3 linked regions of the Ovis aries genome follow. The protein of the gene in region 2 purifies or fractionates together with the protein of the main gene of each other region. This does not show direct contact. Links are inferred from orthologs where the notes say so. Each region holds a gene or a part of one and is shown on either strand. Other genes may lie near its edges. The genes, in order: POP1, LARP7 and YBX3.

The links.
Region 1: the proteins of LARP7 (region 2) and POP1 purify together in Homo sapiens (affinity purification with mass spectrometry; 3 studies listed by BioGRID and IntAct, with this or other methods). This does not show direct contact. The link is inferred for Ovis aries from reciprocal best matches to the Homo sapiens genes LARP7 and POP1.
Region 3: the proteins of LARP7 (region 2) and YBX3 purify together in Homo sapiens (affinity purification with mass spectrometry; 3 studies listed by BioGRID and IntAct, with this or other methods). This does not show direct contact. The link is inferred for Ovis aries from reciprocal best matches to the Homo sapiens genes LARP7 and YBX3.

The regions. Positions count from the first base shown.
Region 1 is NC_056062.1:79,005,710-79,009,362, reverse strand, and holds part of POP1 (ribonucleases P/MRP protein subunit POP1), read left to right. Parts: intron 1-1,354; coding exon 1,355-1,442; intron 1,443-1,828; coding exon 1,829-2,016; intron 2,017-2,719; coding exon 2,720-2,976; intron 2,977-3,089; coding exon 3,090-3,183; intron 3,184-3,653. UniProt on the Homo sapiens protein: Component of ribonuclease P, a ribonucleoprotein complex that generates mature tRNA molecules by cleaving their 5'-ends. Also a component of the MRP ribonuclease complex, which cleaves pre-rRNA sequences.
Region 2 is NC_056059.1:13,380,812-13,384,464, reverse strand, and holds part of LARP7 (la-related protein 7), read left to right. Parts: intron 1-46; coding exon 47-130; intron 131-252; coding exon 253-417; intron 418-499; coding exon 500-593; intron 594-665; coding exon 666-1,016; intron 1,017-1,094; coding exon 1,095-1,239; intron 1,240-3,053; coding exon 3,054-3,202; intron 3,203-3,653. UniProt on the Homo sapiens protein: RNA-binding protein that specifically binds distinct small nuclear RNA (snRNAs) and regulates their processing and function.
Region 3 is NC_056056.1:204,575,134-204,578,786, forward strand, and holds part of YBX3 (Y-box-binding protein 3), read left to right. Parts: intron 1-365; coding exon 366-488; intron 489-3,439; coding exon 3,440-3,643; intron 3,644-3,653. UniProt on the Homo sapiens protein: Binds to the GM-CSF promoter. Seems to act as a repressor. Also binds to full-length mRNA and to short RNA sequences containing the consensus site 5'-UCCAUCA-3'. May have a role in translation repression.

The sequences.
Region 1 (3,653 bases), on a different chromosome or scaffold from region 2:
TCAGATTGTAAGGCAGACATAGTTACTCCTCATTTGGGGCAGAATTTTTGCTGAGGTTATCCCATACTTTCTTTACATCTGCCCTAAGTAATAAAAATAATAGCTAGTAATAAATATTTTTGAATACTTAATGTCTGTTTTAGTACTTTACATATGTTTACTCACTTAATCCTTACAGCAACAGTATGGGGTAAGTGTTTATTATTATTTCCATTTTACAAATGAGGAAGCTGAAGTACAGAGAAGTTGGGCAGTTTACCCACAGCTGTACAGCTAATGAGTGGTGAAGCTGGGATTTGAGCCCAGGTCGTCTGGCTCCAGAGTTCCATGCTCTTAACCATCATTCTCTGCTGTCAGCCAATTGTACACACTCTGCCGCTGACAGCTGGGAGTGGATCACTGTTGCTGGAAGATTTCTGTCAGCACAGATGAACATGAGTTTGTTGCAGCCTTTGCTGCACTTGGCATTTTAGTTTCCATGTGTACTGGATTTGCTTACAGGACCTGTGGCAGAGGGGTTAGCCTGGGGGTCAGTGAGCCTGACTCATGCCAGCTTCTCCACTTTCTGATGATATGACTGTTCAAGTAGCAGTCTCTGTCTCCATGTCCTCACCCGGCAAATAAGTTAATGCTGGCATCTGATCATCAGGTGTTGGGAAGATTAAATGACAGTCCAGTAAGGAGTTAACCCCGCGCTGGCACTCAATAACCTTTCAGTAACTATTAACCATTATTATATGTTTAACATAATTGATTTTATTAGCTCAGTCTGAGCTCTCTTCATCCTGTTTAAATCGCTAAGGCTTTATTCTCATTACTCACACTTTTCCTTGTACATTGCTTAGTCAGAGTTGGATGCCGTGGTTCATACTGAGCAGGGGATGGGGCTTCCCTGGTGCTCCAGTGGCTCCCAAGGCAGGGGGCCTGGGTTTGATGCCTGGTCAGGAAACTAGATCCTTCATGTCAACAGCTAGGATCCAGAGCAGCCAAATAAACAATATTAAACAAGCAAAAGAGAGAGACTGAGCAGGGGAGAAACGTGGGATAAATTGCCTCATGTGTCTTTAGGCTGAGTGTTGAGTAATCCTAAGGCCCTAAGTTAGCTAACCAAACTGAGCGTCTTTAACATCATTTTGCTGAATTTATTACAGTCTTGCTTATTCTACTTTGATTTTTCACTTGAGGTAGATTTTGGGGAGGGATAATCCTTAAAGGCAGTAGTTTTTACATACCACTTGGAACTTATCTGTGACTATAGGATAAAACACATACCTCCTTTCTGAAAAGTAAGACACTGCCACTTACATTTTAAGTAGAAATTCAAGTATTTAATTGTATCTCCCTCTTTTTACAGGATTTATCCTACTACTGTTGTTTGGAGTTAGAGGGCAAAGAGGAAGAAATACTCAAAGCACTTTCTTCAATGTGTAGCATAGACACAGGTAAACTTATTTCAGAGCTGAGTCCTGTTTAAGTCTGTATATTTATTCATTTCATGAACAAGTATCTTCTATAAGCATTTTGGCATTTAAACAGGATTTACGGAGATAGTTCTTATTCCTAACGAGTATATTCATGTAAGGAAAGCTTGGGGTACCTTTTAAATCATTTCTAACATACTAAGTATAAAGTGAGGGAACCATTATTCTGATGCAGTAAATCTAGATAGGAAGAAACTCAAAATTCATTAAATCATTTTCTCAACAAATTTTTATTGAGAACTTATCATGTGCCAGGGTTTGATCTAAGCAACAACCAAAACTAAAACCTCATCTGTTATGAAGATAGACAGTAAATGATCTTGGAATTTTGTTTTTGTTTATGTTAGGATTGACTTTTGCCTCGGTCCACTGTTTGTCTGGAAAGTGCCAAGGGAGTGTCATGCTTTACCGGGCAAATAAGTATCCCCTAGAAATGCTGGGCCCTGTGACATTTATGTGGAAGGCCCAGGGGACCCCTGGTGACACTTCTGAGAGCAGGCAGTTGTGGATCTGGCTTCATCCAGCTCTTAAACAGGTATAATCCTTGATATTATTTCTCATCACTTAGTCAGTGTATTCTTGATTACTGTTAGAAATGAGTGCTACAGAAATTTAAATAGTGTGAAAGTTTGACTGATTGCTTTGTATTGGAATATAGGGAGGATAGTTATGTTAGTATTAATAAGTGAAGCAAATCTTGACCTGACTTTTGGTAAGGCCAGAGTAGGAGTAGAGATGAAACCAGTCTTATACAAATGGCTTGAGATGGTGCCCTGGACTAGTGCTTCCATTATCCTTAACTGGTTCATTGGTATTCATGTGCTTGTTGGAGCCAGTTTGATGATGAGAATCTGTTTTGAGTGATTCTGACAATTTTTTAATACTGCGTTTAGCTTAGCTTCCCTCTATTAACACTCTCATTGCTTTTATACAGTAGATTGTAAATTTTCTCCAAATTCATCTTTAGACTAGTTTAAAAAAAATTTGGTCAGAGTAGTCATGTTGTTTTCATGAGTCTTGTACATTTAGGAGTTCTTTTTTTTGTTCTGTGTGTCAAGCACTACTCAGAGGAATCAAAAAAGCTTTTCAGAGGAATCGAAAAAGCTTTTTGACGATTTTAAATTTAGCTTCATTTGTGTGACATAGGAATATAAATTTTTACAGGTAGAAAAAATAAACTAAGCCAACTTAAACTTGTATTTAAATTCAGAGCTTAAAATGTTTGAATGTGTCCTTAGGATATCTTAGAGGAGATAAAAGCAGTGTGCCAGTGTATGGAACCTACCAAGACAACTGTCCGGACCCCAGATCCCCTTCTGACACCGTCTCAAGAGAAAAGCCAGGTTGACCTGCCTGAAGAAAAAGTCGGCAAGAAAAGAAAACGGAAAGATGATGGGGAAAATGCTCAACCAGTTAAAAAAGTCATCGGTGATGGAACTAGAGATCCACTTCAACCATATTCTTGGCTCTCTCCAGCCACAGGCATCGTGATCCGGTATGGGCTGAACCTACTCTGAATCTACTGAACATTTTCAGTGAAGCCGTGCTTTGTTTTTGTCAGTGAGACAGACATTATATGCAGTATAAAGCCCTTCTCTTTTCTTTCAGTGATTTGACTATGGAGATGAACAGATTCCGGCTGATCGGTCCTCTCTCTCACTCCATCTTAACTGAGGCGCTCAAAGCTGCTTCCATCCACACCGTAAGAGTAAACCTGATTGCATTGCTGTATTCTGGTCAGGCCCTCCTTAGCAAATTTGCGAAACCTAACATATAGTTTCGGAGAAGGCAATGGCAACCCACTCCAGTATTCTTGCCTGGAGAATCCCAGGGACAGAGGAGCCTTAGTGGGTTGCCGTCTATGGGGTCGCACAGAGTCGGACATGACTGAAGTGACTTAGCAGTAGCAGCAGCATATAATTTGGGAGCGTTTTTGGCCATAGCTTATACGTGTTTGTTTGCCTAGTCATGCTTATTATCAAAGACTTTATCTTTCACTTCTCCTAGAATAGCAAGTCTAAGTGAATGTAGCAAGTAAACGGATTCTTATTTAAATACAGACTGCTCCTGCAGCTTCTGAATTTTGTAAAGGGTCTTAACTTCTGCTATAGGTAAGTAGGTAACCGGGAGCTGCCCCTAAAATCCCTGAAAGTATATGCCAGGTTTTTTTGT
Region 2 (3,653 bases):
CACATGATACTGTTAATTAGTATTGACTTTATGTACTGTTTTAAAGCTGGATTTAGAAGGCACCAGAATCAGGAGGAAAAAGCCACTGGGTGAAAGACCAAAGGATGAGGATGAGCGGACTGTGTATGTGGTAAGCCATTTTTCAGGAAAAGCTCGGAACTGTTGTCTCAACAGAAACATTGTAGTATTCAATTTAAATAAAGCTTTATTTTCAGTTGTTTTTAACACTTTATTATTACTAATTTATCATAGGAACTACTTCCCAAAAATGTTAACCACAGCTGGATTGAGAGAGTATTTGGGAAATGTGGCAATGTTGTTTATATAAGTATACCACATTATAAGTCTACTGGGGACCCAAAGGGATTTGCCTTCGTGGAATTTGAAACAAAAGAACAAGCTGCAAAAGCTATTGAGGTAGGTCCACAACCTAAAAGAAAGAGAAAGAAAATTACTAAGTGTTTTAAACAGTAACAGAATTTTGCATATTTCATTTCAGTTTCTTAATAACCCACCAGAGGAAGCACCAAGAAAACCTGGTGTATTTCCCAAGACAGTGAAAAACAAGCCCATTCCAGCTCTCACAGTAACTGGTGAGTTATTACTAAAGACTTTATTAAACATACATGAAGTAAAAATAAGTAATTAAAATAACATTGTTACAGAAGAAAAGAAAAAGAAAAAGAAGAAGAAAGGCCGAACAAAGAAAGACGACAATATCCAGACCAAGGAGTCAAATATGGACGCGAGCAACGAAAGTGTCTGTAAGAAAAGATCAAGGACCACATCTGAGAGCTCTGAAGTAGAGGTTACTGAACCCCAAAAGCAACCCACAAAGAAAAAGAAAAAACGAGAAAAAACTGAAGGATCCAGCTTACCTTTAGTCAAAGCAGGGAAGAGGAAAAGAAGCAGCTCTGAAGATGCAGACTGCCTCACTCCCAAAGCGAAGGTTAAGAAAGTGTCTCAGAAAGACAGCGTTAAAAAAGAAGCTCCAGAAGTTTGTAAAGAAAGCAAAGGTATTTCTGACTTTATGTTTAGGATTAGATAAGGAGAGTTTTCTTGTTAACTCATGTCTTTATTTCTTGTTAATTTAGAATTAGAAGTCTCTACGGAAGAGGAAAAGGATACTGGAGATATAAAGGACGGATCCCTACTGAAAGCAAAAAGAAAGCATAAGAAAAAACATAAAGAGAGGCATAAAATGGGAGAAGAGGTTATTCCATTACGAGTACTATCAAAGTAAGTCACCAGTACAAATTATATTGTTGGCAAATGACACACTCCATCACCATTGCTAAAGTGCAATTCCAATTTGAATTGAACAGAGTTGCATATTAGCAACAGTAATGGCCTGAAGCCATGATCTGCACAGAAGTTGCGAAATGTTGAGGTTTAAAAAGGAACCACCGCACTAAAACATGGAAGCACTTATTTTTTCTTGAAGTCACAGCAAGTGCCTCCATGTTAAAGTAGAGGGTATTCCTTAATAGATTTAAAGGTCCATCTTGAATATACCAAAGACCAGCAGTGTAAGTAAGTACTCCTTGCATTTTCTTGAAGATAAAATGAAAAAAGAAGACTTACCATCACTAAAACATGGAAGCACTTACTTTTTTAGCTACAAAGCAAGTACATCCACGTTTAAGTGGTGGGGAGCCCAGTCTTGGGAAAAATAAAAACGTGAATCTTAACCTGTAAAGTACATTTATAAAATAATCTGGGAACAGAATAAATGCCTGACAAACTTACATTAAGCAAAATGGAAATAACAATTTCACCGTTAAAAGGACTACTTGCTACATTTTCATTACTTTCAGAGCTTCATTAATAGCCAGTTTCAACAGTTTGTTTGGCAAAATGCCAGATCGTAAGTCCTTTTAAAGTACTGACTTGGAGACACCTCCACTGAAACATGGAAGCACTTACTTTTGCTTTACACAGCAGGTACCCCCATGTTAAAGCAGAGGGGATCCCCTTTTAGCTTCGATAAATTATGTAAAAGTTGCCATCTTGTATGCAGTGGCGTAATTTGGATTCACTTCTACTAAAACATGGAAGCACTTACTATTTCAAAAGTCACAGAAAGTACTACCATGTTAAAGTTAAAGGGAGCCCATCTTCTCAATAGGTGGAAGATAAGTAGAAGAAATGGCATACCTTTTAAGAGTTTCTTTCTTAACTTTCCTGGATTACAGTTTCCAAAGACTCCGGTTTTCCTCTTGGAGGGTTAAAAGGCAAGGACTTTGGGTACTTCTATTTATACTATTCTTAACCCCTGAATTCCTTTTCCCTTTTTATCTCAGAGAATCATTACAAGAGCCCTTTGTTATTCTAATGTATCAGCTCTCAGGGAATGTATGGTCCTGGGTGGGTCTGGATTTTTTTTTTTTTTTTTTTTGAAGTATACAGATGTCAATGTTAACAGCTAAAACCATTACCACAGATATTCTCCTCTTTAAAAAAAAAAAAAAATCCCCTATCTGCTTGTTTGATGGCTCAGATTAGGGTAACAATGAGTGCTCCTGCAGAGCCAGGAGAGGCATTGTGTTTCTATCTGGAGGAGCTCTAGCTGTTTGAAGAAACCTCTACACGTTAAATGTATGTAAATAAATAAATTGCTTCCATGGGGTGTTTTTTTCCTTCTTAGAAATTCCTTTGACTCCAGTAAATACTGAGGAATGTTACCTTTCAAATTGGAAGCAGTTTAACAAATCTTAAAATTTTAATTTTTCACCCAGAGTTAACTGACTTTTCTAGTTAAATGTTACTAGTTAGTTGACTCAGTGCTTTTATTTTTGTCAGTCACATATTTGAAAAATACTCAAGAATTGAATCAGCAAATATAAAACATTTAATCTGAATGTTGGGACAGAGGGAACTCCCCTTTTCTTGTTTGCCAGATAGACTTAGAACTCAGGAAATAATTTAAATGTGTTTAAAGAAAGATTGGGAGAATGAGTGGTTGTAAGTCACTGAATGTCTGTATTTTGAGACTTACTTTTTATTTAATGATCTGTTGTCACTGTTTAAAAGTACAATTATTTTCACTACAGAACAGAATGGTTGGATTTGAAGAAAGAGTATTTAGCACTGCAAAAAGCCAGCATGGCTTCTTTAAAAAAAACAATATCCCAGATAAAATCACAATCAGAAATGGAAACAAATGGAGTACCTACTAATTCCGGAATGAAAAATGAAAAAAGTAAGCATCAATATGATAGTTTTTGTAACATTATATTGTACTTATACTAAAACACACTGAGTTATTGTAGGATAAACTTTAGCTTTTGAAACTCAATTATATAGTGGTTGTTATTAAAGCAATTACTGATTCCTCAAGTTGTCCAGATATGATTTATCCTTAACCTAAAAATATTTGAAGGGCTCATTTTAAACTGAATCTTTTTTAATCACATAAATTTTCTCTATACAGTTTTCATTAGTAATCAAAATTAGTGATGAGTGCCTAGTCTGTAGTTCATCGCATTTGTAGAAACAAAGATGATCTTTTATATTTATATTTTAAATTCCCATAAGTTGAAAATATAAATTTCCACATTTGAATTGTAACGGTGTACCTATACCTGTTTATTTCTTTATTGAGTAAAACAATTTGTTATTGGTTCAGTGAAATGGGACATTTTTTCTTTAAG
Region 3 (3,653 bases), on a different chromosome or scaffold from region 2:
GCTTTATATTTACCAGTTTTGCATTTCTTAAAGAAATATATATACATATTGCTCTTGAATCAAGAGAGCAGAGGTTGTGGAAGCACGCAAGCCGTATAGACATCCATTATTTTTTTAACTTTTTACTTTATATTGCAGCATAGTTGATAAACAGTGTTGTGTCAGGCGTCATGCTGTATACATTTAAATCAGGACATCAAGCATCTTGCTCACCTTATTAAAACGAGGGTGTGTTTTTGAGGTCACCTGTAGGAACTTCTAGTACCTCTTGCCAGTCTTAAACCCTCTGGCTGTCTAAGGCGGTGCTTTCGGTCGTTTGGCTTCTTTCTGACTCGAAGGCCGTCTTTGCTTTCTTCCTTTCTCAGGGTGCAGAAGCAGCCAACGTGACCGGCCCGGATGGCGTTCCAGTGGAAGGGAGCCGATATGCTGCTGACCGGCGCCGCTACAGACGCGGCTACTATGGCCGGCGCCGTGGACCGCCCCGCAATGTACGTTGTCTCCTTCATCATCAGTGACCCAAGAAATGTGCACATCTAAAATTAAGTGTGTATGTTTGAAGCACATAAAAGCTGTATCTTCTGCTGGAAACACAGTGATTTTTTTGGATGGGAAATTTTTCATGTTCAGAATTCATCCCCACTGGGCTTATGCGACATTTTTGCCATTCAGCAGTTTTATCCGTTTGTTTGCATTTGGCTGCAAGTAACAGCCATTTAATTATCATGTAACAAGAAGGCTTAACTTGGGCCATGCCAAGGTTGTCAAAAAGGTTTTTTCTTCTTTTGGCTCCTTTATCGGCCAGAACCGAACCATGTGACATCCACTGGGTGGGGTAGGGAGAAGGGGCCTGGGATTTCTGTGATTGGCTTACATCTGGTGTTCATCCCTTGGCGCTGACCCTGTTTATTTCTAAAGTCAGCCTTTCCTTGGCAAGGAATAGTGAGGAACAGCTCTGGAGTAAGTGATGGACAGTGCTGGCCACAGAAATATTAAGTGATTTGCCTCAATTATGTAACTTTTATTTAGGATAGCATTTCCCATTATTTCAAAGTTAAGCAACAATTAAGTCTGAATTTTTAGTCCTGTAGATTGGTACCAATCTAAGTGAAAGGGTTTACAACCAAGTCTGGCTGCAGGAGGCTCAGTTTAAAGTATTCTTGAGGCATCCAACTTGTGGTCATGAGGACCCTCTTAGATATGAGTCATTTTTTAATGTTTCTAGAATTAGTACCCGGGATTGGTACTCTGGAATAAAACTCAAGATGCTTTGTGAACACAGGATTGTGGCTATGTGCGTCATCCAGGGAAAACTTTTGAAAAAAGTCTCACCAGAATGAAGTATTTGCAGACTGAGAATGGTTTATATCTCTACACTTTGATAGAATAGTATGTTTCTGCTTACCTAAATGTTTCCTCTCTTCATTGTGTCATCTTAAACATGCAGCCCAAATTGGTTTTTATCAGATTCCATGTGATATCTTGTTTTTCTTCCTGTATTTCTCTTACCCATGTTTTGCTTATCCTGTTTAATTTTTAATAATAAACTGTGTCAGAGACAGTAGGAATAGGCTACCATAGCATCTACTACGTTGTGTTAACTCTTTCAGGTTCACCAGATTCACGGAACACTAGTTGTAATTGTTTTGATTTCTAGGTTACCTCAGAAGTACAAGTGGTAAAAAGCCTTTAGTGAAAAATTTTCCTTCAAAGACGTTTCTCCTCAGCTCGAAATTCTGAAGTCATGTGTGTGACGTTTAGAAACAAAATTATCAAAATTCTGAAAATCAACATAAATGAAGGTTTTCTGTTGTGATGTCTTCTAGGTCCTGACAGCTTCCTGAGTGTGTTTGGCAATGGTGGTGCCATTGTTGTTATTTTGTAAAACTAATCTTAATGAAAGATTTGGCTATAGAAAACTCAGATACAGAGAAACCTAAAGAGAAAATTTATAGTTTATTTAGTCACACTATTTGGCAGAACATTTTCTATGCTAATATGCCTTTAAATCATTGGAGACTGTATCTGATATAGATTTTATAAAGTATAGAGTTACTTGGATTTTCTGAAATTAGACTAGTTGAGGCTATGCTTGAAGCTTTTCCTCTTTGAGAATTTTGTTGCTCATGTGGGCTTGGTTTTCTGGAGAGTTCTAAATCTTAAATACTCTCACCCCCAACATCAGTCATTTAATTTTCTTCATTCTAAGTTTGTTCATTTTTTAAAAGCTATAGTTACTTTACTTAAGACTACCTTTGGCATTGCAATTCCCCTTTAAAGTAAGATTTGAAATAATTCTTTAAGGGATGTTTAGCTGTTTGCTTATATTTTTTGATATAAAATGTTAGTATGTGAAATGGTAGTTTAAATACAGGGAAAAGACAAAATGAATCAATAATTCCTTGTGTTAATAAAGTTTGTTATATTCAGAAACTGTATTTATTACTTGCTACTATGTATTAAAGTGCAATTAAAACTTTATTCCTAAACAAATAAAGAGAGGTATGCCATAAGTCAGTGGTTCTCAAACCTTCTGGTTTTTGGACCCATTTATATGCTTAATTATGGGATGCCAGAGTTTTTATGTATATTTATATCTATTAATACTTATTGTATTGGAAAGTAAAGCAGAATTTAAAAGATTTGATTTATTTTAAAATAAGCTATTACTTGAAATACAAATAACTTTTTTTTAATGAAAGCTAATTTTTAATTGAATGAAAAGAGTGGTGTTGCTTTAGGTTTTTGCCAATCACTGATGTTGGTTTAATAAAAGACAGCTGGTTTCTTACAGCTCCTTCTGCCTTGGTGCTGTGAGGGACCATGTGTCACTGTAGCTTCTGGGAGATCCAACCCCCCTCCTGCCCCCAACTCAGGAGAGAATGAGATGGGAAAAGACAGCATCCTGCCAGCCTTATGAGAATAGTTTGACCTTGATGACCCCCTAAGAAGGATTTCAGAGACCCTCATCCACACTTTGAGAACCCAACCACTCCAGGAAGCAAACCACTTAGGACCAACCACAAAATATACAAAACATATTTTTCTTTACTTTGCCCCAGTAGATGACCAGTGTTGGGGAGACACATTTGGTGGAGCCAAATATTCTAAACTGTGTAAATGTTTTTTGGGTGGTTAGTCAACTGATACTGACATTCTAACTAGATGCGAACTAAATTCTTTAGCGATTAATTGCACTTGCTTTTCTGCTTCTTGGTATTTTATCTGCATAGATCTGCTTTAATGTTAATGTAGCTTATCTCAGGTCATCACCTGATGATCCGGGGTAAATGCATTTTTGTCGATATACTAGAAGGGATCGTTCCTTTGGGGGAGAATTTTTTGTTTGTTTGTTTGTTTCGTTGATACTCAGCCTAAATGGTATTCTTTGCTTCTTTCCCTGCCGACACCTCTCTGAACCTCTGTTTCTTTGCTTCGCTAGTACGCTGGGGAGGAGGAGGAGGAAGGGAGCGGCAGCAGTGAAGGACTGGAGGCCCCCGCCGCTGCCGGGCAGTTCTCTGGGGCCCGGAGTCAGCCGCGCCGCCCCCAGTACCGCCCCCAGTACCGGCGGCGCTTCCCGCCTTACCACGTGGGACAGACCTTTGACCGCCGCTCCCGGGTCTTCCCCCATCCCAGCAGAATGCAGGTAAACCAGC